Oryctolagus cuniculus: one gene and its partners. The protein of the gene in region 1 purifies or fractionates together with the protein of each later gene. This does not show direct contact. Links are inferred from orthologs where the notes say so. Each region holds a gene or a part of one and is shown on either strand. Other genes may lie near its edges. The genes, in order: EIF4A2, EIF3H, EIF4G1 and EIF4G3.

Evidence for each region.
Region 2: the proteins of EIF4A2 (region 1) and EIF3H purify together in Homo sapiens (affinity purification with mass spectrometry; 3 studies listed by BioGRID and IntAct, with this or other methods). This does not show direct contact. The link is inferred for Oryctolagus cuniculus from reciprocal best matches to the Homo sapiens genes EIF4A2 and EIF3H.
Region 3: the proteins of EIF4A2 (region 1) and EIF4G1 purify together in Homo sapiens (affinity purification with mass spectrometry; 6 studies listed by BioGRID and IntAct, with this or other methods). This does not show direct contact. The link is inferred for Oryctolagus cuniculus from reciprocal best matches to the Homo sapiens genes EIF4A2 and EIF4G1.
Region 4: the proteins of EIF4A2 (region 1) and EIF4G3 purify together in Homo sapiens (affinity purification with mass spectrometry; 3 studies listed by BioGRID and IntAct, with this or other methods). This does not show direct contact. The link is inferred for Oryctolagus cuniculus from reciprocal best matches to the Homo sapiens genes EIF4A2 and EIF4G3.

The regions. Positions count from the first base shown.
Region 1 is NC_091435.1:96,443,873-96,449,931, reverse strand, and holds the start of EIF4A2 (eukaryotic initiation factor 4A-II), read right to left. Parts: upstream 3,895-6,059; 5' UTR 3,496-3,894; coding exon 3,467-3,495; exon of another isoform or gene 3,403-3,466; intron 2,711-3,402; coding exon 2,665-2,710; intron 2,575-2,664; coding exon 2,442-2,574; intron 2,326-2,441; exon of another isoform or gene 2,258-2,325; intron 2,157-2,257; coding exon 2,017-2,156; intron 1,237-2,016; coding exon 1,068-1,236; intron 987-1,067; coding exon 877-986; intron 631-876; coding exon 487-630; intron 451-486; exon of another isoform or gene 273-450; intron 192-272; coding exon 54-191; intron 17-53; exon of another isoform or gene 1-16. UniProt on the Homo sapiens protein: ATP-dependent RNA helicase which is a subunit of the eIF4F complex involved in cap recognition and is required for mRNA binding to ribosome.
Region 2 is NC_091437.1:142,342,933-142,348,562, forward strand, and holds part of EIF3H (eukaryotic translation initiation factor 3 subunit H), read right to left. Parts: intron 2,401-5,630; coding exon 2,244-2,400; intron 1-2,243.
Region 3 is NC_091435.1:93,904,012-93,909,641, reverse strand, and holds part of EIF4G1 (eukaryotic translation initiation factor 4 gamma 1), read right to left. Parts: intron 2,933-5,630; coding exon 2,834-2,932; intron 2,720-2,833; coding exon 2,585-2,719; intron 2,475-2,584; coding exon 2,393-2,474; intron 2,279-2,392; coding exon 2,138-2,278; intron 1-2,137.
Region 4 is NC_091438.1:149,925,718-149,931,347, reverse strand, and holds part of EIF4G3 (eukaryotic translation initiation factor 4 gamma 3), read right to left. Parts: intron 5,418-5,630; coding exon 5,181-5,417; intron 3,912-5,180; coding exon 3,807-3,911; intron 478-3,806; coding exon 345-477; intron 1-344. UniProt on the Homo sapiens protein: Component of the protein complex eIF4F, which is involved in the recognition of the mRNA cap, ATP-dependent unwinding of 5'-terminal secondary structure and recruitment of mRNA to the ribosome. Functional homolog of EIF4G1.

The DNA of each region.
Region 1 (6,059 bases):
GTCTGAATCCTGCTTCAATGTAAATACTGATGTTAAGTTAAAACACCTCTTACCAGAGCAGAAACTGTGAAGTCCCTGGCATGCATTTTCTCAGTGAGCCAGTCCACTTTGCGCCTTGTATTGAGAAAAATAACAGCCTGTGTAATGGTCAGTGTTTCATACAAGTCACAAAGTGTATCCAACTTCCATTCCTATGGGATTTCAAAGACAAAAGATTTCAAAGACAGTCAGTTCATTTTCAGTATGATCAGTCATGAAATTTACTCTCAAAAACATATTGCACCAAATTTTAAGACAAAGGACATTGGACATTAAGAAAGAGGTCCACCCCAGTCTTTACAATCTAGTGCAGTTACTCTTCTTCTTGTGTGTACTCTGCTAGCATTATTACAAAAACCAAGACATGGTCCTAGTTTCTGCAATTTTAGCACAGTGCTTATACAAGAAGGTTAAAGTGTACATTTTTATGTTTAACAGATAAATTACCTCTCTTTCAACATTAATATAGAACTGTTTGATTCCTTCAAGGGTCAATTCTTCCTTCTTAACCAGAATTCGAATTGGATCTCTCATGAATTTTTTGGTCACTTCTAACACATCAGTTGGCATCGTGGCAGAAAGCAACACAACCTTCAAAAGACAATGATGGCACTGTCATACCAGCTGGTAGCACAACTTTCACATTTCACATTAAGACACTAGAAAAACAGACCAAGTGTCTGTCCTACTATGAAATGGTAGGTAGACAGATAATTCTGCATCAAATGTTGTATAAGCAGGGGGAACAATAAAACACTTCAGTTATGTTCTAACTGCACCTGTGTTAAATCTAAAACTTTTGGTATCAGACTTAAAAGAACACTTTAGAACACTTACCTGAATACTGGTATTTAGTTTTTGAAAAATCTCATAGATTTGATCCTTAAACCCTCTGCTCAACATTTCATCTGCTTCATCCAAAACGAACATTTTGATCCATTTTGGAGCTATTAAAAAAAAAAGATCATTTGACTTCTTTCCTGCTACAACAGTTAATATGTAAAACTCTCCTAAGGGAGAATACTTACAAAGGTATCTTCTGTTTAACATATCAAATACTCTCCCTGGTGTACCAACAACGATATGTGGTGCTTCTGCCTGCAATTTTTGCATTTCATTCCTAACGTTTGTTCCACCAATGCAGGCATGACAAGTTGCTCCCATATAGTCTCCAAGTGCCAGAATTACCTTTTGGATCTAAAAGCCAAAATCGGTAATTATTATCCTGTAGGGCTGCAGTTTCTATGACTAACTGCCAAAGCATAATGGCAAGTTATCTGGTCTGCCAATAGCTTTTATGCATGCACAGCAAACTACTTCCAAGCTTAAAATGCAGACTAACTGCTTCAAGAATAAAATTCCCTGTCTTTCTTATGCCTCAAACTGATCCTCTTGCCCCAGATTATCTGCTAGGCAACTAAAAAAAAAAAAAAAAGGAAGCACATCCTATCTTATTCTTCATTATGTAGGAAAGGTGTAAATATTGATTAAATTCTGTTAATTACAGCTAGGACAAATGTTGGTCATTTTCCCCACAGGGAACTGTACCTTTTTATGATCTTGACCATAATAAAGCCTGTGGCTTTATTAGGAAGGTTTACTTCAAAGCCAATTTAACAGTAAGCTTTGAAAACATAGCATGCAACAGATGCATCACAAACTACTGAGACAGTCAAATGGTAACATGTCACTGCAGTTTTCATGTTGCACAACTGCACTTGAACGTAAGGAAAATGGATATAGGAATGGGGTATCCTGAACAGAAAGCTTCACAGCCTCAGTCTGGGGAGACAACCCTACACACAGTACCTAGACACCCAGTTCCTATGTAACCTCCAACAAAAACTCCCTGCATGCATGGACAATTAAGAGGGCTCTGACAGGACTAATTTACCCTAAATTTTAAATTCTTCACAGTTGTGAAACCTGAAACCTATGCAACACGCAAGCAGTTTTTTTGAACTACACTATCAATACCTGTTGAGCCAGTTCTCTGGTGGGGGCCAATACTAGTGCTTGGGTCTCCTTGAACTCAATCTCCAACTGTTGCAGGATGGAAATAGCAAATGTGGCTGTCTTGCCAGTACCTGACTGAGCTTGAGCAATCACATCATACCCTAAAAAAAGTAGGATACATATTTACCGATCCCACATCAAATTGTCACTTCTACTTCACACCATGTATTCCATTTGGAACATAAATTATGCCCCAATAATCAAGTGATCAGCAATGAGTATTCTGTCATTTCAGGTCAGTCCCGAAAGATGATTGCCATCATTTCACTTTAAGGAATACAAACAGGTGCTAGTCCCCCACAGGTTCCGCTCCCTTTTATGGTCCAGGTCTATCATTAACAGTGAATTCACTTTCTGTTTTTAAATGCTAGAGAGTTTTCTTTTACCTTTAATGCAAGGAATAATAGCTCTTTGCTGAATAGCTGAAGGCTTCTCAAAACCGTAAGCATAGATGCCCCGAAGAAGAGACTCCTTTAAATTCATATCATCAAAGTTATCAACAATCTCATTCCAGTTGCTCTGTTAAGTTTAAAAAGAAGTTAAATGGGATAAATGAGATGCGCGCGCACACACCTTTGCAAGGCTTCAAAATCCACACCCATTTCTCACCTCGATGACACCATCGGGGTCCATTCCCTCTGGGCCGCCATGTTCTCTGCGGGCAAGTACACAACAGCAGTTAAGACAGCTCCCAAGCCGCCGCCACCCGCCTCGCCTCGGGGCCTGCCCCTACGCTGCCCAGAGAGCAAACGCAGCCCGTGTGCGGGCCACGCAACGTCCCGGCATGTCTCCTGCGGGAGAGCCCCAACGCAGGCCCCGCCAACACCAGCCCCTTCCCCCCGGGCTCTCCCGTTTTGGCGACGAAGATCTCGCGAGAGCTCCACGCGCTGAGCTCCGCCCCTGACACTGCGCAAGCCGGGGTGATTGACGCGGCCGGGGCGGCCCGGCGAGGGCAATGCCAACGGTTCGCCCCCAGCCCCGGTGCCGGTCCAGTCCCGTCTCCTTCCGGGCACGGCGGAGTGGACCCCGCTGCCCCCACTGCCCTCAGGCTGAAGCCCGAGACCAACTCGCGCCGTTGACCGCAAAGAAAGCGTCGGCCCCTACCACCCCGTTCCGAATGCGGATTGGGCCACGGCTTTTATTTAAGATATGTACCGTGTTCCGCACGGCGAGGAGTGAAGGCCGAAATTTCTAGACGTCTTTGAAAGGGGAGACCACTCCAATTCCGTAACTCGCGTCCCCCTGCAGTCCTACCCATCATGGAAGCTTCTCGAAGGACTCGGGGGGGTATTTGTAGCCCACGAAAACACCCGTGAGCCTGTTGCTTCCTGCCCTCACAGCACTCACCACAGCCTCCCTGGGCGCCCTCTGACCTTCACCACAGAACACCACCGCCGAGAGGCCGCCATACCTGTTGTAGTCCGCAGAGCCACCAGACATGTCCGAACAGCCACTCAGCGCCCGACTGAAAAGACAGCAGCGCCGTGCCACCCGTTTTTTATAGGCTCGCGGCCGGAACCCGTTTTCCGCGGAGGAATATCGTCGCCGCGCTTTGGTTAGTCCCAAAATTAGAATCCTGGGGCCGTTCTCTCAGGAAAGATTCCTAAGGAAGTCAGTGGAAAAATTCACATGTCGTAATTTCTCGATATTACAGGGTTGCTGGAAATCCCAAAACCTGGAGGCGAACTAGGGCTCTTTGCGTGGCGGCGGAAGAATATTGCAGCAGCGGCGGCCGCACGCCGCGCTCCCCGCCCGCCCCGCCCGCCTGCTCCTACGGGGTTTCCGCGGCTCTGACGCAGAGGCCGAGCCGGGCGGCGGGCGGCCGGGAGCCGGAAGCCTGCGGCGCGCTGCGCGCTCGGTGGCCGGGCCGCGGTCGGCGGGCGGACTAGCGGCTCCTTGCCGGGGCTCGGCTCCTGCAGGGTCCCGGCGTCTTCGCTCTGCTCCGCAGGGCCAGGGTTCTTCTGCCATGTCCCGCGGTCAAGAGCCGCCCAGCAGTAAGCCCGACCGTTGGACATGCATTCAGATCTTTGGAGAGATTCCGACTAGGGAAAATGTCGGCCACCCAGCACGTCCCAGAAAATCCGGTTGGCCGGTGCATTTTGCAGAGCAAGGAAAAAAATCTTAGTGTCGTCGAGACTAATATCTGTGGTAGTAACTCCGTACTCCATCTCCACTGATCCTCTCTGGTAAAAAATCGTGCTGACGATTCTAACCTAACAGGTGTGAGGATCATTATAAACTTCTTTCAAATGATGAAAAAAAAAAAAAAGCTAAGGAACAGGAATTTTCCTTGCACTGAGGGAATGTAAAGCGGTGCTTCCGGAGGTACCGGTCTATACCTCTTTGGAACTAGATGCGTTTTGATTCCGGTCCGCATTGATCATTTTTAAAATGATTTTGAGTTTTAGTTGCCTGTGTATAGTGAAATGTTGATTTACTGAAATTCAGAGCAATACAGTCCTTGCTGCTGAAATAATCTGCATGATTCCTTAAACTCAAGACAAGTTCTCAACTAGCTGCAACGCAGGCCCCTTGGGTCGAAATAAAAACAATATATTTAATAATTTATTTGTAAAATACAATCCTATCTATAATCAAGATATGACTGCCTAGGAAGATGCTTTCTTGTCATTTCGGATCAACCTAGTCCCCGATTATTGGAGAAACTGACTCAGCTTTCTGTATTTTAGAAGGTACTTGATTCTAAATGCCACTTATTTCTTGTTCAAGACATCATCTATGTATTTGAAGATTATGGTTGTGCCGGGAACTGTGACAAAAATGAAGACTACCAAGGTGACAGCAGACCTGGTGTTCAGTCTGGTGCTGCTGCCACTTACCTGTCCCCCCGCGGTGTTCAGATCCGGAGTTGAAGTGATGCCAAGCATTTTTGGAGAATGATAGCACTTTAGAGACTACTGTAGTCTCATCTAAAAATCTAAAACTACCCTGGGACCTAAGAAACTGAAGAAAATATGAATTTAGAGAAGTGACTTGCCATTTAATTACACTTGAGTCTTAGGGTGAAATTAGTGGATGGTGGGGTGAAATCAATCAACAATTAACACCTAATTGTTGAGCGGCTCCTTCAGGGTTGTTACTATACTAGATGCTGAGGAGAGGAAATCGACAAGGGCTAACTCTATGAGTTAGGTCAGGAGTGCTGAGGGAGTTTCAAGTTAAGAACCCATAACGGAGTCACCATCCACACCTGCGGTGCCTGTAACCTTACAGTATAATTCTTTAAAAAAAAAAAAAAAGAAGATTTATTGATTTGAAAATCAGAGTTACACAGAGAGAGAAGGAGAAGCAGAGAAGTCTTCCATCCACTGGTTCATTCCCGCAGTTGGCTGCAATTGCTGGAGCTGTGCCGATCCGAAGCCAGGAGCCTCCCCGGGTCTCCCACATGGGTGCAAGGTCTTTGGGCCATCTTCTGCTTTTCCCAGGCCATAGCAGAGAGCTGGATTGCAAGTGGAGCAGCTGGGACTTGAACAAATGCCTATATGGGAATGCTGGCACTGCAGATGGCAGTTTTACCCACTACACCATAGCGCCAGCCCCATAAAATTTTTTCTACCCTTGGGGTTGGTACTATGGCACAGCAAGTTAACGCTCTGGCTTGAAGCACCAGCATCCCATATAGGCGCCAGTTTGAGACCTGGCTGCTCCACATCCAATCCAGCTCTCTGCTATGGCCTGGGAGAGCAGTGTAAGATGGCCCAAGTCCTTGGGCCCCTGCACCCACATGGGAGACCCGGAAGAAGCTCCTGGCTCCTGGCTTGGATTGGCGTAGCTCCTACCATTGCAGCCATCTGGGGAGTGAACCAGCAGATAGAAGACCTCTCTCTCTTTCTCCCTGCCTCTCATCTCTCTGTGTAACTCTGACTTGCAAATAAATAAATAAATCTTTAAAAAAATTTTTTTTTCTACCCTTCTGGAGAAAGACTAAAATAAAAGTACATTACCATACTTCAAAGCAGGAAATCTAAAGCTGTGGCATGAGT
Region 2 (5,630 bases), on another chromosome or scaffold:
AGCCGCCACCTGCAGTGCTGGTATCCCATGTGGGTGCCAGTTCGAGTCCCAGCTGCTCCACTTCTGATCTAGCTCTCTGCTAGGGCCTGGGAAAGCAGTAGAAGATGGCCCAAGTCGTTGGGCCCCTGCACCCATGTGGGAGACCCAGAAGAAGCTCCTGGCTTCGGATCAGCACAGCTCTGGCAATTGTGGCCAAGTGGGGAGTTAACCAGCAGATGCAAGACCTCTCTGTCTGTCTGTCTGTCTCTCTCTCTCTCTGCCTCTCCTTCTCTCTCTGTGTAGCTCTTTCAAGTAAATAAATAAATCTTAAAAAAAAAAAAATACTACTTCTGAGTAAATATCCAAAAGACTTAAAAACAGGATTTCATAGAGTGTGAATACCATGTTCACTGAATTATTACAACACTTATAAGGTGTTAGCAACCTAAATGTCCAACAACAGACAAATAAAGAAAATATGATATACACATACAATGGATTAATCAGTCTTAAATAAAAGGAAATCGTATCACATGCCACAACATGGATGAACACTGAGGATATTACACTAATAAGCCAGTCACACACACAAAAAAAGGACAAACGCTGTACAATTCCACTTATATGAGCTATTGAAAGTAGACAAACTTAAACAGAAAAAAAAAATGGTGCCTGGTGCTTTTCACCACAATAAAGTCTTGAAGATTCAAACAACTGATAAATTATTTTCAACTAGATTTTAAAATAATCTCATAAAATGTATGCCTTTGGTGTGAGCTTTTAATTACTAGAGGCCTCTGCTGACACAACAATGACTAACTGCAGTAGAGAAACAAATGCTTCTGAAATGCTTGAGAATATTCTTTATGAAGCAGACAGCTGAACTCATCTCTTCTAAAACACTGGGGAGGGGCCAGCATTGTGGCACAACAGGGTAAGTGGCCATCTGCAATGCAAGCATACAATATGAGTGCCAGTTCAAGTCCTGGCTGCTCCATTTCTGATCAAGCTCCCTGTTGATGTGCCTGGAAAAGCAGAAGATGGCCCAAGTGTTCAGGCCCCTTACATGGAAGACCTGGATGGAGTTCCAGGCTTCTGGCTTTGGCCTGGCAAGGCACCAGCCATTGCAGCCATTTAGGGGAGTGAATCAGCAGACAGAAGGTATCTCTTGATAACTCTAAGTAATTCCGTTTCAAATAAATCAATCTTAAAAACACTGGGTGATTCAAAATTGGAGAGAAGAGAATGGATGCTGTATACATAATGATGGGTCCATGTTCTTCACACTTTGGCAAGCTGACTTCATAATGAAAAAGTGAGCATCAGTACAACCTCTATCCAACAACCCCACCTTGTCCATGGTTTTGCTTTCTGAGGTTTCAGTTACCTTCAGTCAACTGTGGTCCAAAAATATTAAATCGGAAAAATTCCAGAAAGAAAAAATATACAAGTGGTAAATAACTTTTATTATAGTATTGTACTATAATTACTCTATTTTATTATTAGTTACTGTTGTTAGTCTCTTACTATGCCTGATTTATATGTCAAACTTTATCATCGATAAATTAAATAAGTTTATATAATTTGGGGCAGGTATTGTAGCACAGCGGGTTAAAGCCCTGGCCTGAAGTGCTGGCATGCCATATGGGCTCTGGTTCTAGTCCCAGCTGCTCCTCTTCCAATCCAGCTCTCAGCTAGGGCCTGGGATAGCAGAAGATGGCCCAAGTCCTTGGGCCCCTGCACCCACATGGGACACCCAGAAGAAGCTACTGGCTCCTGGCTTCAGATAGGGACAGCTCCGGCCACTGCAGCCATTTGGGGAGTGAAACCAGCGCATAGAAGACTTCTCTCTCTCTCTCTAACTCTTTCAAATAAATAAAATAAATCTTAAAAAAAAAAAGTTTATATAATTTATAAACTGTATTACCGATGTGCTTAAAGGGAAAAACACATGAGTACATTTAGGATTCAGTCCTATCCATAGTTTCAGACACTCACTGGGGTATTAGAATATAACCTCTTCAGATAATAAGGGTAACTGCTGTACTACATATCAGAATCACAAATCCCAAATAGGCAAAGGTCAAACTGATGAAATTTATGATATAATCTTCATTTCCCAAAATTTATGTAACTTTTCCAAGAAGCTCAGAAATCAAATGAATGAGGCTAGCCTGGTAACAAATGGTCAAAGTTTACAGTGAGATTGATACTACTACACATTTGTATGCACTGCAGAAAACACATGAGATGAAAACCCTTACCTTCATCAAAGTCGGCATCATCCTCCGTGTGCTGGGGGAAAGGAAAGCAGTTGGTGATTTCAAGCCGATCTTCTACAACCAGTCCTAAAAGCACTCCTTGAACAACCTCAGTTCCTTGACCTTCTTCTTGATAATGTTTTATTATCTTTAATACCACCTAAAAGAAATACAGAAAGGGGCTTAAAAATCATTCTCCTTTTATATCCTTTATTTCTAAGAAAAACAGGTAAGCAATTATTAGCGGATTTGCAAAAACACAAAACTACATAGGATTAAACAAATGCCTTACAAACCATTTCCTTTACCGTTATATAATAATAAAGCTCCCATAATCTAAAAGTAAATATGAAACTCCCGGAGTCTGAAGATATACCAAAAATATCTGTGTACTACACTCACAATCCCTAACTCAACACTCCCCAAAGAGTCTAGTATCCAGGCGTTCCTTCAGGCAAATCAAACAACACCTCCTTCAGCCTGAGGTATCACTGGGAAAGTTATCCTATTAACAGGAAGGTAACTTCTTTTTTTAAAGATTTATTTTTATTTTTTGAAAGACAGTGTTACAGAGAGAGGTCTTCCATCCATTGATTCACTCCCCAGATGGCCACAACGGCCAGAGCTGAACCAATCTGATGTCAGGAGCCAGGAGCTTCTTCCGGGTGTCCCACATGGTGCAGGGGCCCAAATTCGGGCTATCTTCTAGTGCTTTCCCAGGCCACAGCAGGGAGCTGGATCAGAAGAGGAGCAGCTGGGACTATAGAACCGGTGCACATATGGCATGCCGGCACTTCAGGCCAGGGCTTTAACCCACTGTGCCACAGCACCAGCCCCCAGGAAGGTAACTTCTTGATATGGATGATAAAATCCAGTCATTTGCAACAAAATGAAAGAATCTGGAAAACATCATGCTGAGTGAAAAAAGCCAGTCCCAAAGGAACAAATATATGTTCTCCCTGATAGGTTACAACTAACTGAGCACCTAAAAAGAAATCTGTAGAAATGAAACTGACACTATGAGAAGCAATGACTTGATCAGCCCTTGTCCCGACTGTCAAGGAACAGCTTACTATTTTATTCTTTTTAGTATTTTCTTTTTCTACTTAATACCACTGGTTGAACTCTTCACTTAACACAGAATTATTCTTAGGTGTTTAAATCCAATTGAAAATTGGTCCCTGTTAAAAAGAAGAGTGGAAACAAGAGAGCAAGGAGATGTACAGTTCAGCACACATTCCCTCAGACTTACCCCTAAAGGTAAAGCTAAAAACTTGCCGTTGGACTCCAAATCCCATTAAGTTGGCAGGTACCAATGTCATCTTACAACTTAAAGTGATCAGTTTAAGTTCATAACTGATCATAAAGACAGAAATAAGTTTCAAAGGGATCACATAAATAAGACCAAGTGTCTGCTAATAATAATAGATAGAATTAAAAAGGAGAGAACAATCCAACATGGGAAGCAGGCCACATAACAGACTCATAGAATGACAAACACCCTAAACAGCACTGTGGCCTCAGAATCAGCCCTTAAGGCATTCTGGTCTGGCTAAAAAGCCCATGAGAGCATTACAGGCATGGAAAGCCAAGACACTGTGGCAAAAAATGACCTACATGAAAGATCTCCGTGAGATCTCAGTGAAAAGAAGGAGGAGAGAACTTCCACTTTGATTATGGCCCTGTTTAAATAATGTCAGAGTTTGTGGACTCAAGAGGCTTCCATAGCCTTGGTAGCTCATGACAAGAGCCTTGGGTGATCACTGACATCATAAATAAGAGTGTCAATTGTTAAATCAACAACAGGAGTCACTGTGCACTTGCTCCCCATGTAAGACATCTGTTCTTAATGAGTTGTACTATGAGAATTAACGGTAAATCTAGTCTTCAAACAGTACTTTATACTTTGTGTGTCTGTGTGGGTGCAAACTATTGAAATCTTTTTAGTATAGAGCTGGTCTTCTGCATATAAAGGTAATTATAAATCTTAATGACGAATGGGATGAGAGAGGGAGTAGGAGGTAGGATAGTATAGGGGGGAGGGCAGGTATGGGGGGAAGAACTGCTATAATCTAAAAGTTGTACCTATGCAATTTGTACTTATTAAATAAAAGCTCTCTCTATAAAAAAATTTTCAGATTTTGAATAGCAAGACAAATTATGATCCAGAGGAGCATGCCCAGTCATACATTCACTAGGAAGGCCTGGGTATTAGCCCATATCCAATTTGCTATATTAAACACTCTTTATAGGTTAAAAAAAAAAAAGAGAGAGAGAGAGAGAGAGAAAGAAAAAAAAAAACCTGGTATCCAGTACTGCCTAATTTTCCTCAACCAGAGAGATACACTGAATAATCGCTACTGGAATAAACAACTCTTGTTTGACTGTCTTCTTTAAGACTGACACAAAGGGGCCGGCACTGTGGAGCAGCGAGTTAAAGCCCTGGCCTGAAGCACTGTCATCCTATAAGGGAACCTGTTCTAGTCTCTGCTGCTCCTCTTCTGATCCAGCTCTCTGCTGTGGCCCGGGAAAGCAGAAGATGGCCCAAGGCCTTGGGCCCCTGCACCCACCTGGGAGACCCAGAAGAAGCTCTTGGCTCCTGACTACAGATTGGCTCAACTCCGGCCACTGCAGCCACTTGGGGAGTGAACCAGCATCAGATGAGGACCTCTGTCTCTACCTCTCTCCATAACTCTTTCAAATAAATAAAAATCTTTTTTAAAAAAATATTCACACAAAGACAAAGGAGACACTACAGTGTATGACTGCATAGACAGTTAATGTCAAAGTTCATGGTAACCATTCCTAATAATTCTTACAACATAGGATTGTTACTATATGGAAAGTGCTTTGACTACTGCTCAGCACCTACTTGTTAACAATAGTGATGTTTAACATAAGCCCATGACCTGAAGACCTAAATAGCAACACAGCCTAAAATGCAAGAAGTTCTCACAGAGAAATTAAGCCTAACAACAAAATAACAAATTATTAGTACTTTATTGATTAGTGTTCATCCCAAATACATTAACAGGAATAGTAATTATGAGTCAGTAACAAGTCACATTTATTGAACATTATGCACCAAGTAACATTCTACCTACTTTTACATGGGTTATTCACACAACCACCTTCGGAGAAAGGCACTTTTACGCAAAAGAACCCAGAGAAGAAACAATGGCTAAAGGCCATCTAGAATTGGCAGTCAGCATTTAAACCAGGCAAGTTCCAAAGCCTGTATGTATACTTTAACAAGATGCTGATTTTTCTATCAGTAACTCAACTGATAATTAAAGTAATCAATTAGTAATAAGGGCAGGCATTTGGCCTACAGATTAAGATTCTCTTTGGGAAGCCACATCATGCAGCAGAGTGCATGAGTTCAAGTCT
Region 3 (5,630 bases), about 2.5 Mb from region 1:
CTCATGGTCGAAGAGATTGGTGTGCAGGAATGAGTCACTCAGCCATTGGAAAAAAAAAAAACATGAACTCGCCTAGCCTCACCTTGGCAGCTTCTAATTTCTCCACTCAAGATATCTTTAATGGGGAAAAATGCACAGAATTGATGCTCCTGATTTTGGGGAATCCAAGTCATAAATGTTGAGGGTATAATCTAGAACATTCACTGAGCCCCAAACATCTCAACAAAAACTCTTGGTCCCAATTCTTTGTTCCCATATACCCTTCTCTAGCCCTGGACGCATCTGCAGGTGCTACCCCCCTTGCCAGGACCATCCTCTCTCGTCACCTTCCTGGAATTCTTCAAGACTCAACCGGACACTCTGCGTCACTGTTCACCACCTCGCTGCGAGGCAGCCTTTCCCAAGCACTTGTCTTATCCCCTGAACACAACCTACCCGAGTCCCCACAATGAACTACCAGTCTTCCTAAACCAAACTGCACATTCCTAAAACCAGAGGGCAGTAGAGTAAGCGAAGTGAAACAGCACAGAACTACAGTCAGACCTGCCAAGTCCCTGACCGAGTCAGGACTCCACGAGGGCACTCTCCCCCTCCAATGCACACAGCTGGGCCCCCGCCACTCACCCCAGCCCCACCCCGGCCCAGACTCTGATCCCAGAAGAATGGCTCATCTTCCACTTGCCCCACAGTGGCACTCCCAATCCCAGGCACACCACCTTGTGGATCCTATACAATCAATGTCCACCCAGCCCTCTAACCAAACAAAGACTCTGTCTCATAACACTCAAGAAGATTGTCTATACTTGCTGTTTTCCATTCTTCTTGTTTTACTCAAGTATTTCTCAATCCTTTCCAATCCAGAGCCCTCCCCCGACCCCACCAAATAGTTTCTGCTGTGGTGGTCACCCCGATTTTAGATCCCAGAGCCCCTTAATTTTCAGTCATGTCCCTATGAACTTTAGGCGCATCTGGGACTTCCACTTTGTTCACAGGGCTCAGCCTTCCTCTGATCTCTACCTGTGTGTGCACCACCTCCACAGGATCCTATCCCCAGGCCTCACCACTTCCTCAGACAACCCCATTCCTTCCTCCTAGGCCTTGCACACCTAAACCTCTAAGAGCAACTCAGAGCTGCCCCCTGCCCTGCCCTCTTCCTCTTCCCAGATGGACCGACACCCAGCTACTGACATCTTGGCTCTTCTCACACAGCGAGCGCTGACAACTTGTTCCAGTGTTCCCGATCCCAGCACCACACCATTGTCTCACCTGCTGAAGCCATCCTGAGAGTCCTTCATGACTCCCAGTCTCTCACGGCCCCCTCCCCAGGCTGGTGTGACCAAGAGCTGCTAACCTCACTTCCAGAGTTATTTAACTCTGCCCACCGCTCCTCCCTCACCTCTACTGTCACCAGCCAGGCTGAGCCACCAGTGCCAGTCCTGCCACATTCACTTATACCACCCCAAACCCTTCTTCTCACTGTGGCAGGATGATCAAGATAGCAGTCCTACACAACACGGGCCCTGTCTCTCTCCAGCCCCATCCTGCGTTTGCTTAAAAGCTCCCTCCCTACTTCCCACTGGTCACTTGGCCAATTTCCTAGTCACCACTCCTGAGACTAGTGTGCTTGCAGACAGCACCCCCACCTCATCACTCCCCGTCAGCACGAGACCTGCAGCTGGCCTAGTCGCTGTGAGCACCCCAATGCCCTGATAACACACAGCTATTACTCAAGTGCATAACCTCACCCATGTAACCAAGATTCAGCCTCTCAATACAGAAAACAGGGGTAACACCATCTACCCTAAACAACCATGGTGACAACTAAATGAGGCAGGCAAGCTGAGCCTCCGGCCCTGTGCCAGACAGCCATGGCACATGGCAGCCCCTGACAGATGCTATCATGTTCTCACCTTTACTGCTGCTATCTAACAGATACTAAGCACAAAGCAGTCAGTCCATTAACCTTCAAGGCTAAGTCCAACTTCCTCCATTTGTAGACAGAGAAATAAAGTTAGGGAGAAGGCACCAAACCATCAGGGCACTATCAGCCTTTCGCGGACTGAGACCCTTCCCTGACTACTCTCTGCTCTCCAGTGGTCCCTCCAGCCCACCCCCATCCCCGAGGCCTGGCTCTTACTGGCGGGCTGTTCTAAGGTCACTACAAGGGCCTGGAGGGCATAGAGTGCTTGCAGCTCCTTCTGCTCATCACACAGGTATTTCTGTAGCAGTTTCGCTCGCGCTTTCAGCACTGCGACATCCACGCGGAGGGGAGTCTCAACTGCAGGAAAGAAGACAGGGGCAAGTGAAATAATAGTTCATAAGCTGTTTCAGACCTAGGAGGCAAAGGCTGAACCCCTCACCCTGCTCCCACCACCTCCCTGGCTCCTCTTACAGATAATTGCCGAATAGCAGACAGCCGTCATGAGGGCTCGAACTAATGTGTTGGATGCTATCTGCTGCTCACTCAGGTTGGCCTGCACAAGAGACACATGGTCCACAGGTTGAAAATCAGGCCCAAGGTCCACTCCTGCACCCCCAAACTTCACTCTAAGAAAACCCTCCCGCTCATCCCCCCACCTCACACCTCTATCCAGTCGAACACTCGCTGGTTACTGCTGCCCTCCTTCAGCAGCTTCTCCAGCTGCCTGCTCAGCTCCTCAGAGGACAGTGCCCTCTGGCCAGGGGCTTCGGACTCCTCTCCCAGGGTATACTCCACCTTCTGCAATCAAAAAGACCCAGTCAACAGGTCCCCTGTGCCACCTGAGAGATGAAGGCAGAGGGAGAAGACTGGCCAGGCCCAGAAGCTAAAATTAACCTAACTCCAGCCCCAAACCTGTTCAGTGATGAATGCACCGACATCCTGGCCTTCAGGCAGAAATTCTTTCCAGCTGAGCCCAGCCTCACGCCACAATATGCCCACTTTTTTGGGGCCCTGGAAAAATACAAGACCAGTTCAGCCACCCCGTCTCTCCAAGGACCAAACAGCTCCACAACAATCATCCAGCAGGTACTCACTGAAAGCCCACTAGGTACCTGCTGGAAGCTAAGGACGGCAGAGGTACCCCATAGACACAACCCTTCCACGCCCTGAAGTCCAGTGCAGGGCAGACATCAGATACCCACACAGATAAACAGGAACTCGTCTACCACAGTACTGCCAGTAGGATGAGGGAAAGGCCCTCAAAACCGTGAACAAGCAAATGCAAATACCCTCCTCCCTCCTAGTCTTCCAACGTCACCAGAAAGTCTCAAAAGCAGATACACCCTCACCCCCACAACACAAACCAGAAATTCCCACAAAAACAGTAATGCAGGGCTGGCCCTGTGGCACTCGTGGGTTAAGCCGTGCTTGCAATGACAGCATCCCATCCCAGAGCACTGGTTCAAGTCCTGGCCACTCAGCTTCCCTTCCAGTTCCCTACAAATGAGGCTAGAAAAGCAGTGAATGATGGTCCAAGTACCTGGGACTCTGCCAGCCACGTGAGAAACCAGGATGGAGGTACGGGCTCCCGGCTTTAGCCTGGCTATTGTGGCTTTTTGGGGAGTGAACCAGCAGATGAAGAGATCCTTCCCTTCCTCCTTCCTTCCCTCCCTCTCTCTCCATGTGCGCGCACGTGTGTGTGTAACTCTTTAAAATAAATAAGTAAATCTTAAATAGCAGCCTGAGCCCATTTTCTTTAAGGAGCAAGAGACCCCACAGGTATCACTTTTTTTTTTTTTTTTTTTGACAGGCAGAGTGGACAGTGAGAGAGAGAGACAGAGAGAAAGGTCTTCCTTTTGCCGTTGGTTCACCCTCCAATGGGCGCTGCGGCCGGCGCACCGCGCTGATCCAATGGCAGGAGCCAGGTGCTTCTCCTGGTCTCCCATGGGGTGCAGGGCCCAAGCACCTGGGCCATCCTCCACTGCACTCCCTGGCCACAGCAGAGGGCTGGCCTGGAAGAGGGGCAACTGGGACAGAATCCGGCGCCCCGACCGGGACTAGAACCCGGTGCGCCGGCGCCGCTAGGCGGAGGATTAGCCTAGTGAGCCGCAGCGCCGGCCGGTATCACTTTTATAACAAAAAATACGCAGAGTGATGATATTAGCTGTTAATTTCATGGGGCCGACGCTGTGGCACAGTAGGTTAATCCTCCGCCTGTTGCGGCAGCATCCCATATGGGCGCCCATTCTAGTCCCAGCTGCTTCTCTTCCAATCTAGCTCTTTTCTGTGGCCTGGTAAAGCAGTATAAGATAGCCCAAGTGCTTGGGCCCCTGCACCCACATGGGAGACCGGGAAGAAGCACCTGGCTCCTGGTTTCGGATTGGCGCAGCTCCGGACGTATTGGCCATTTGGGGAGTGAACCAACAAAAGGAAAACCTTTCTCTCTGTCTCTCCCTCTCACTGTCTCTAACTCTACCTCCAAAATAATTAAGTAAAATATTTAAAACAAAATTTCATGATTCTATTTTAAATGATTTCTTCATATTTTAAACACTGTAAGTAAGACACATCACAGCTGATACACTACTACATTTTAAAAATAAGACCATGAGTCTTTTTTCTTAGCAATGCATCAGTAAGAAATCTTCCAATCCACAGCACCTTAGATCAATGACATATGCTTCTTGACTTACAATGGGGCTACGTTTCAAAACAAAGCAACCAACCTGGGGTCAGCGCTGTGGCGTAGCAGGTAAAGCCACTGCCTGCAGTGCCTCCCATATGGGTGCCGGTTTGAGTCCCGGCTGCTCCACTTCCAATCCAGCTCTCTGCTATGGCCTGAGAAAGCAGCAGAAGATGGCCCAAGTACTTGGAACCCTGCACCTGCGTAGGAGACCCAGAGGAAGCTCCTGGCTTCAGATCGTCCCAGCTCCGGCCACTGTGGCCATCTGGGGAGTGAACCATTGGATGGAAGACCTCTTTCTCTCTCCCTGCCTCTTGTAACTCTGCCTTTCAAATAAGTACATTCTAAAAAAAAAAAAAAAAAAAAAAAGAACATTCTAAGTCAAAAATACCCTAAACTGAAAATGCACTCGATACCTTGAAAAACCTATCACAAAGCTGAAAAATCCTAAATTGAAACCCTCATAAATTAAGGACCGTAGGTACAGAAAGAGTATAATATGCTTATTTTATGAACAGAAACTGTCCTGGTACGTATGTTTACCTACCTAAAAGGACCATCTGACACTGAGAGAATAAGTCCTTTTAACCCAGTCTCTTTCCTGCAGGTACCAGAGAGGTATATTGTTTTGAAACTGCATGTTCCAGTTTCTCACAACCACACCCAAACAGCCTTTCCCCATCTTGCCACCTTTACACTCACCAATCAACTTTCATAAAGCAACTTCAGTGCCCTTCAAAGAAAGCCTTCTTGCATGAACACTGCAAATGCTGGTGAGCAACCTCACAGTACTTGAGACATTCCGTTTCAACTTACTTCACACTGGTGTTTTAAAACAAAATTTACTTGAAAAATAGAGAATGCTCCCATCCACTGGTTCACTCCCCAAATGCCCCTAACAGCTGGAGCCAGATAGAGGCCAATCAAGAGCTGGGACCACAACCCATGTTTCCCAAGTGGATGGCATAAACCGAATTAACTGAGCCATCACCAGTACCACTTGGGGTCTGCATTAGCAACAAACTG
Region 4 (5,630 bases), on another chromosome or scaffold:
AAACTTTTATTTGAAAGGTAGTAAGACAGAGACAGGGAACGATATTCTAGTCACTTTGTCACTCCTCAAATGCCCACAACAGCTAGGGCTGGGCCAGGCCAAAGACAGGAAACCAGAACTCCATCTGGGATCACGTGGGTGGCAGATAACCCAGTACTTGGAGGCAGCATCCTACTGTATTCCCAGGATATAATTATCAGGAAGTGGATCAGGAGTGGAGCTGTGACTCAAACCAGGCCCTCCAATACCCCAGGTGGCATCTTCCACACTCTGCCCTCTAGAATACTCCAACACCTTTCCCTCGAGCTCCCTGTCCTCTAAAGCGCAGTGGACTCCTCACTCACCTGGTCTTCTCTTCTCCTTGGTCATGAGCTGCTGCACCTTCCTCTGTTCCTCTTGTTCTTCTATTTTAGCTTCTTTGTGAATCTGCTCAATAGTTTTAGGCCCTTGATCTGCTCTTCGAGACACCCAATTACACTAGAAAAGTGAAAAATCAGGTTATCAGCCAGATGCTGAAAATAAAAATAAAATTAAATTATAAGTTTTTAATTTTCACTGCTAGAAAAGTATAAACTACCTACAAAATCTGAGATTATGGCAGTTTTCCATCTGTCATGTGGATGGCACTGTGTACAGTATGGTAATTAGAGTTAAGAATTAAATTCTTCTCAATCAACCCTGACCAACTTAACTGTACAATGCACATTCCAACAGCAAATGGACAGACTGGCCCAAATGTATTTTATCATTATTCTGCACATTTGAAAGGAGGAGAGGGAAGAGGAGTCAAGAAGGACAAGGGTTCCTTGGCATTGCCTTAATCTAGGGGTTCTATTAGTTCATATCACACTCCATAGGGAGTCTAATTAGAAGATGACTAGCATTCTTCTTCCTCCAATATCAGGGTTCTGGATCCTGCACAAAGTGTCACACCATTGTGCCCTTTGGTTATCCCCTCTACTAAGGCCAAAAGTTGCCTCTTCATACTTTCCTGTTCCATTTCCTAATGTTCTAACATCTGATACAAGTAAAAGGAGCTGAAGGCATGGGTGGGGAAGTATTTTCTACTTATTAGACAGAGGCAAGGATGGCAAACAGATTTAAACCAGTATGCAGGCCGGTGCCACAGCTCAACAGGCTAATCCTCCGCCTAGTGGCGCCGGCACACCGGGTTCTAGTCCCGGTCGGGGCACCGGATTCTGTCCTGGTTGCCCCTCTTCCAGGCCAGCTCTCTGCTGTGGCCAGGGAGTGCAGTGGAGGATGGCCCAGGTGCTTGGGCCCTGCACCCCATGGGAGACCAGGAGAAGCACCTGGCTCCTGCCTTCGGATCAGCGCGGTGTGCCGGCTGCGGTGGTCATTGGAGGGTGAACCAACGGCAAAGGAAGACCTTTCTCTCTCTCTCTCTCTCTGACTGTTCACTCTGTCAAAAAAAAAAAAAAAAAAAAACCACACCAGTATGCAAGTGGCTTTGGTAATAGGAGAGATCCCAACGCCATGCCGGGGCTTTAGCAAAACAGAGAACCATCACCAGTGCTGGATTCAGACAGGAAAGAGGTGTGCCCCGCATTTACTTTCTCTCCTTGGGCTGGCTGCACTATATTCCCTACAGGAGTTAACTAAGAGAAGAAATCAGGCTACAGTGATAAACACTGTATGTGGTATAAGAAGAGAAAAACATTATTATAGAATAAGAGGGTTTATAGGAAAAACAATAGAGCAGAAAACATCAACATGTGGGCACTTTCCATAATGATCTCGCTGAATCTTTACAACAAATCTGCAAGGCAGACAACATCCCCATTTTACAGATTAAAAGTGTAAGGCTCAGCAAAGTCAAACATTCATTGTGAAGATCAGACTGATCATTTAGCTCACGAAAACTAAATTTAATTGACCACAGTCTGAATTCAGAACTGCTTATTTCAAAACTGCAATGTAGTCTGATAATCAAAGTAAGGAGTAGAAACACGCAACAATTAAGAGGTTCCTAACTCTCTCAGGAATACACCAGTTCAAGATCAGAGAGTATTGAAGCAAAATCATTAATTTTATTTATTTGTTTATTTATTTTAAAGACACATTTTATGTATTTCAAAGGCAGAGTGGCAAAGAATCTTCCATCCATTGGTTCACTCCCCAAATGATCACAAATGGGACTGGGCCAGGCTGAATCCCTGAGCCCAGAACTCCATCTGGGATTCCCACATGGGAGGCAGTCCCAAGTTCTTTGGTCATCCTCTGCTGCTTTCCCAGGTGCATTAGCAGGGAGCTGGACGGGAAGCAAAGCAGCCAGGACTCAAACCAGTGCTCTGACACAGGATGCTGGTGTTGCAGGTGGCAACCTAGTCTACTGCACTGCAACACCAGTCAGAAGCATTTTTTTTTTTTTTAAGATTTATTTATTTGAAAGGCAGAGACACAGAGGGAGATATCTTCTATCTGTTAGCCCACTCTCCAAGTAGCTGCCAACAACCTGGGCTGAGCCAGCCTGAAGTTAGGAGCCAGGAGCTTCCTCTGGGTTTCAGAGAGAGAGGGAAAGACACACTGAGAGAGGTTTTCCATCTGCTGGTTTACTTCCCAAACGGCCACTATGGCTTGCACTAGGCCAGGCTGAAGCCAGGAAACAGGAGCTTCATCTGGGTCTCCCATGTGGGTGGCAGGGACCCAAGAACTTAGGTCATCCTCCACTGTGGGGAGCAACTCGGACTAGACTATTACTGGAATTAAGACTTATTCTATGCATCTGTTCTCCCACAATATGGCGCTGAGAAGGGAGTAACAACTTCTACGCAGCTGCCTCTCGCCAACTTGAGTGATGACCTGCAGGAGCTGATCCTGCTCCTGATTGGAGGAGAGCAGCGTACTCGGCATGTGGGTAGCAGAGTTGGGATTGGTGGAAGAGGACTATAAAGGAGGAGAGAGACAACATGCACCAGGAACACCTGAGGAACATCTGAGCAGCCCCTGAGAGAGCCGGCCGGCGGTGTGCCGCTCCCCCGCGGAAGTGGGGAAAGTGGCAGGGGGGACCGCCCTTCCACGGAGGTGGAAGGGTCAGTAGCCAACCCGGGAAGAACCAGCAGCAAACCCGGGGAGGGCCGAGCAGACAAAAGAACAGCGCAGGGTCCTGTGTCGTTCCTCCATGAAGAGGGGGAGCGACATAATGGTGCCGTGACTCGGATATGAAGCCTAGGCAGGGTTTAGTGTCGTTCCTCCACGAAGAGGGGGAGCGACACTCCACTGCTTTCTGAAGTGCATTAGCAGGGAGCAGGTTCGGAAGTGGAGCAGCCAGGACTCGAAACAGGTGCCCTTATGGGATGCCGGTGCTGTAAACTGTGCTTTTAACCTGCTACACCACAGCACCAGCCCCAACCATAAGTTTTTTTTTTGAAAATATTTTATTTATTTATTGAAGAGGCAGATTTATAGATAGTGAGAGGGAGAGACAGAAAGAAAGGTCTTCCAGCCATTGGTTCACTCCCCAAAATGACCACAATGGCTTATCTGAAGCCAGGAGCCAGAATCTTCTTTCAGGTCTCCAACATGAGTGCAGGGGCCCAAGCACTTGGGCCATCTTCCAGTGCTTTCCCAGGCCACAGCAGAGAGATGGATCGGAAGAGGAGCAGCCAGGACTAGAACTGGCGCCCATATGGGATGCCGGCACCACAGGCAGTGGTTTTACCCTCTACACCACAGCACTGGCACCAGCATTAAGTTTTTATACATGTTAACGTTAGGACATCCTTCTCCTATTCAATTTATTAAAATAATTTAGACTAGTAGTATATTTCCTTTTCTTTCCTACTTACCAGCCTTAGGTCTATCACATCTTGAAGCATGAATCGAATTCTAGATGAGGTTTTTCTTTCTTTCACAATTTTTTCCATCTGATTAAAGTACTGGTCCATACGTGGCTACAAGAAACAAGATCATTAGTATTTCTGGCTAAAGAATTCAAATGTAATTTCATGATATAGATTTTTTTTCATTATAGAGAGCTTTTAAATGTTTAAGGAATAATATGACAGGATTTTTAATTGCCCATATGATTGCCCAAAGAAAAGATTACACTTTTCAGACTTTTGAGCAGGTGGCTTTTTTATGCTATTAATTATAGATCAGAATATAATGGAAATGCTATTTTGCAGCTCCCTGGAACCTTCCTTATGAGAGAGGTAGCTGTGTCCTTTGTCCCCCTTTTTTCCTACTTTTCCTGCTGAGAATTCTAAGGACTTAATGTTCTACCTTAGGAATGTGAAACAGTAAGCTACAAGGACTTATCTATGAACTTTGCTTATATAAGTGAAAAACTTCAATAATGTAGAAACTACAGGTACTTGGGATTTTCTGTCATAGCTAAACATAATTCTAGCTGACTCAAATGTTATGGAACAGTTCTGACATTATTTCTTTGAAGCACTTCTCATTTCCACAAACCTTACTTGGACAGTACTATGTTATGTTTGAATTATAGTATTTTTGGTGAATTCTTATATTATGGTTAGCTAGATGGGCCATTAATCAGAGCATAAACTTGAAGAAAACCAGGGGCCAGCATTGTGGCATAGCTGGATAAGCTGTAGCTGGCAGTGCTAGCATCCTATAAGGTTCAAGTCCTGGCTGCTCCACTTCTGATACAGCTCCCTGATAATGCAACTGGGAAAGAAGCAGAGAATGGCCCAAGGGCTTGGGTCCCTGCACCCACGTGGGAGACCTGGAAGATGCTGCTGGCTCTTGGCTTCAGCCTGGCTCAGACATGGCCATTGCAGCCATTTGGGGAGTGAACCAGCAGATGGAAGACCAATCTCTATCTAAAATAATATAAATCTTCAAAAAAAAGTGAACTACTGGGTTTTCCACATTTCTGTACCACCCTAGAGCCTGACACATAGTAGCTTTTCTTTTTTTTATTTCAGCTTAAAACTTGCTGTACAAATAAATGACCTATGAAATAGTTACGGAGGAAGAAAAGAGACAAGTGACAAATAATGTGAACAATCTACAAATTGTCTTCTGTATAATTTGGAACCTGCTCCTCTATGACTCTAATGCAAATGTGGCAGGGAACATGCTGGCCAAAAACTGATGATTAGATAGACAAAGGGAAATTAACAGCCTCAGCTGTGGGGGTGAGAGAGTATTTTGCAACCCAGAGCCTCTGTGGAAAGTTTCTGAATTTTTACCTTTGCTTTCTCAAAGTCCAAGTCTTTGCCAATGGTGGTGAGCAGGCGACACAGACACTCCAGGGATTCCTCATCGTGGTTCTTTAGCAGTTTCACCACACAGTCGTGCATGATGGCTTCAGTCAGCATTTTGAGTTTAAAGAGTTCTCCAATAAACTTGATGTTACCAATGGATCTCCGTCGGGCTTTGTCCTTGGCTTCTTCCAGTTCATCATGAAGCCTTGTCCTCTCCTCTGGCTGTCGTGTGAGAAGGAGTAAGAGCATCTTAATGAAAAGTTGTATGCCTCACGATCCTTACTCGTTCTGAGCGTCAGATGCCCTGTGAGGATCTGACAGCGACTGGGGACTTACTTTTCAAAACACGAACTACACCCACAAAGACCTCCTGCATTTCAGATCTCCAGAACCCAACGCCCTCTCTCAAGTCTAGGTTTAGACTGAACGCTGCTG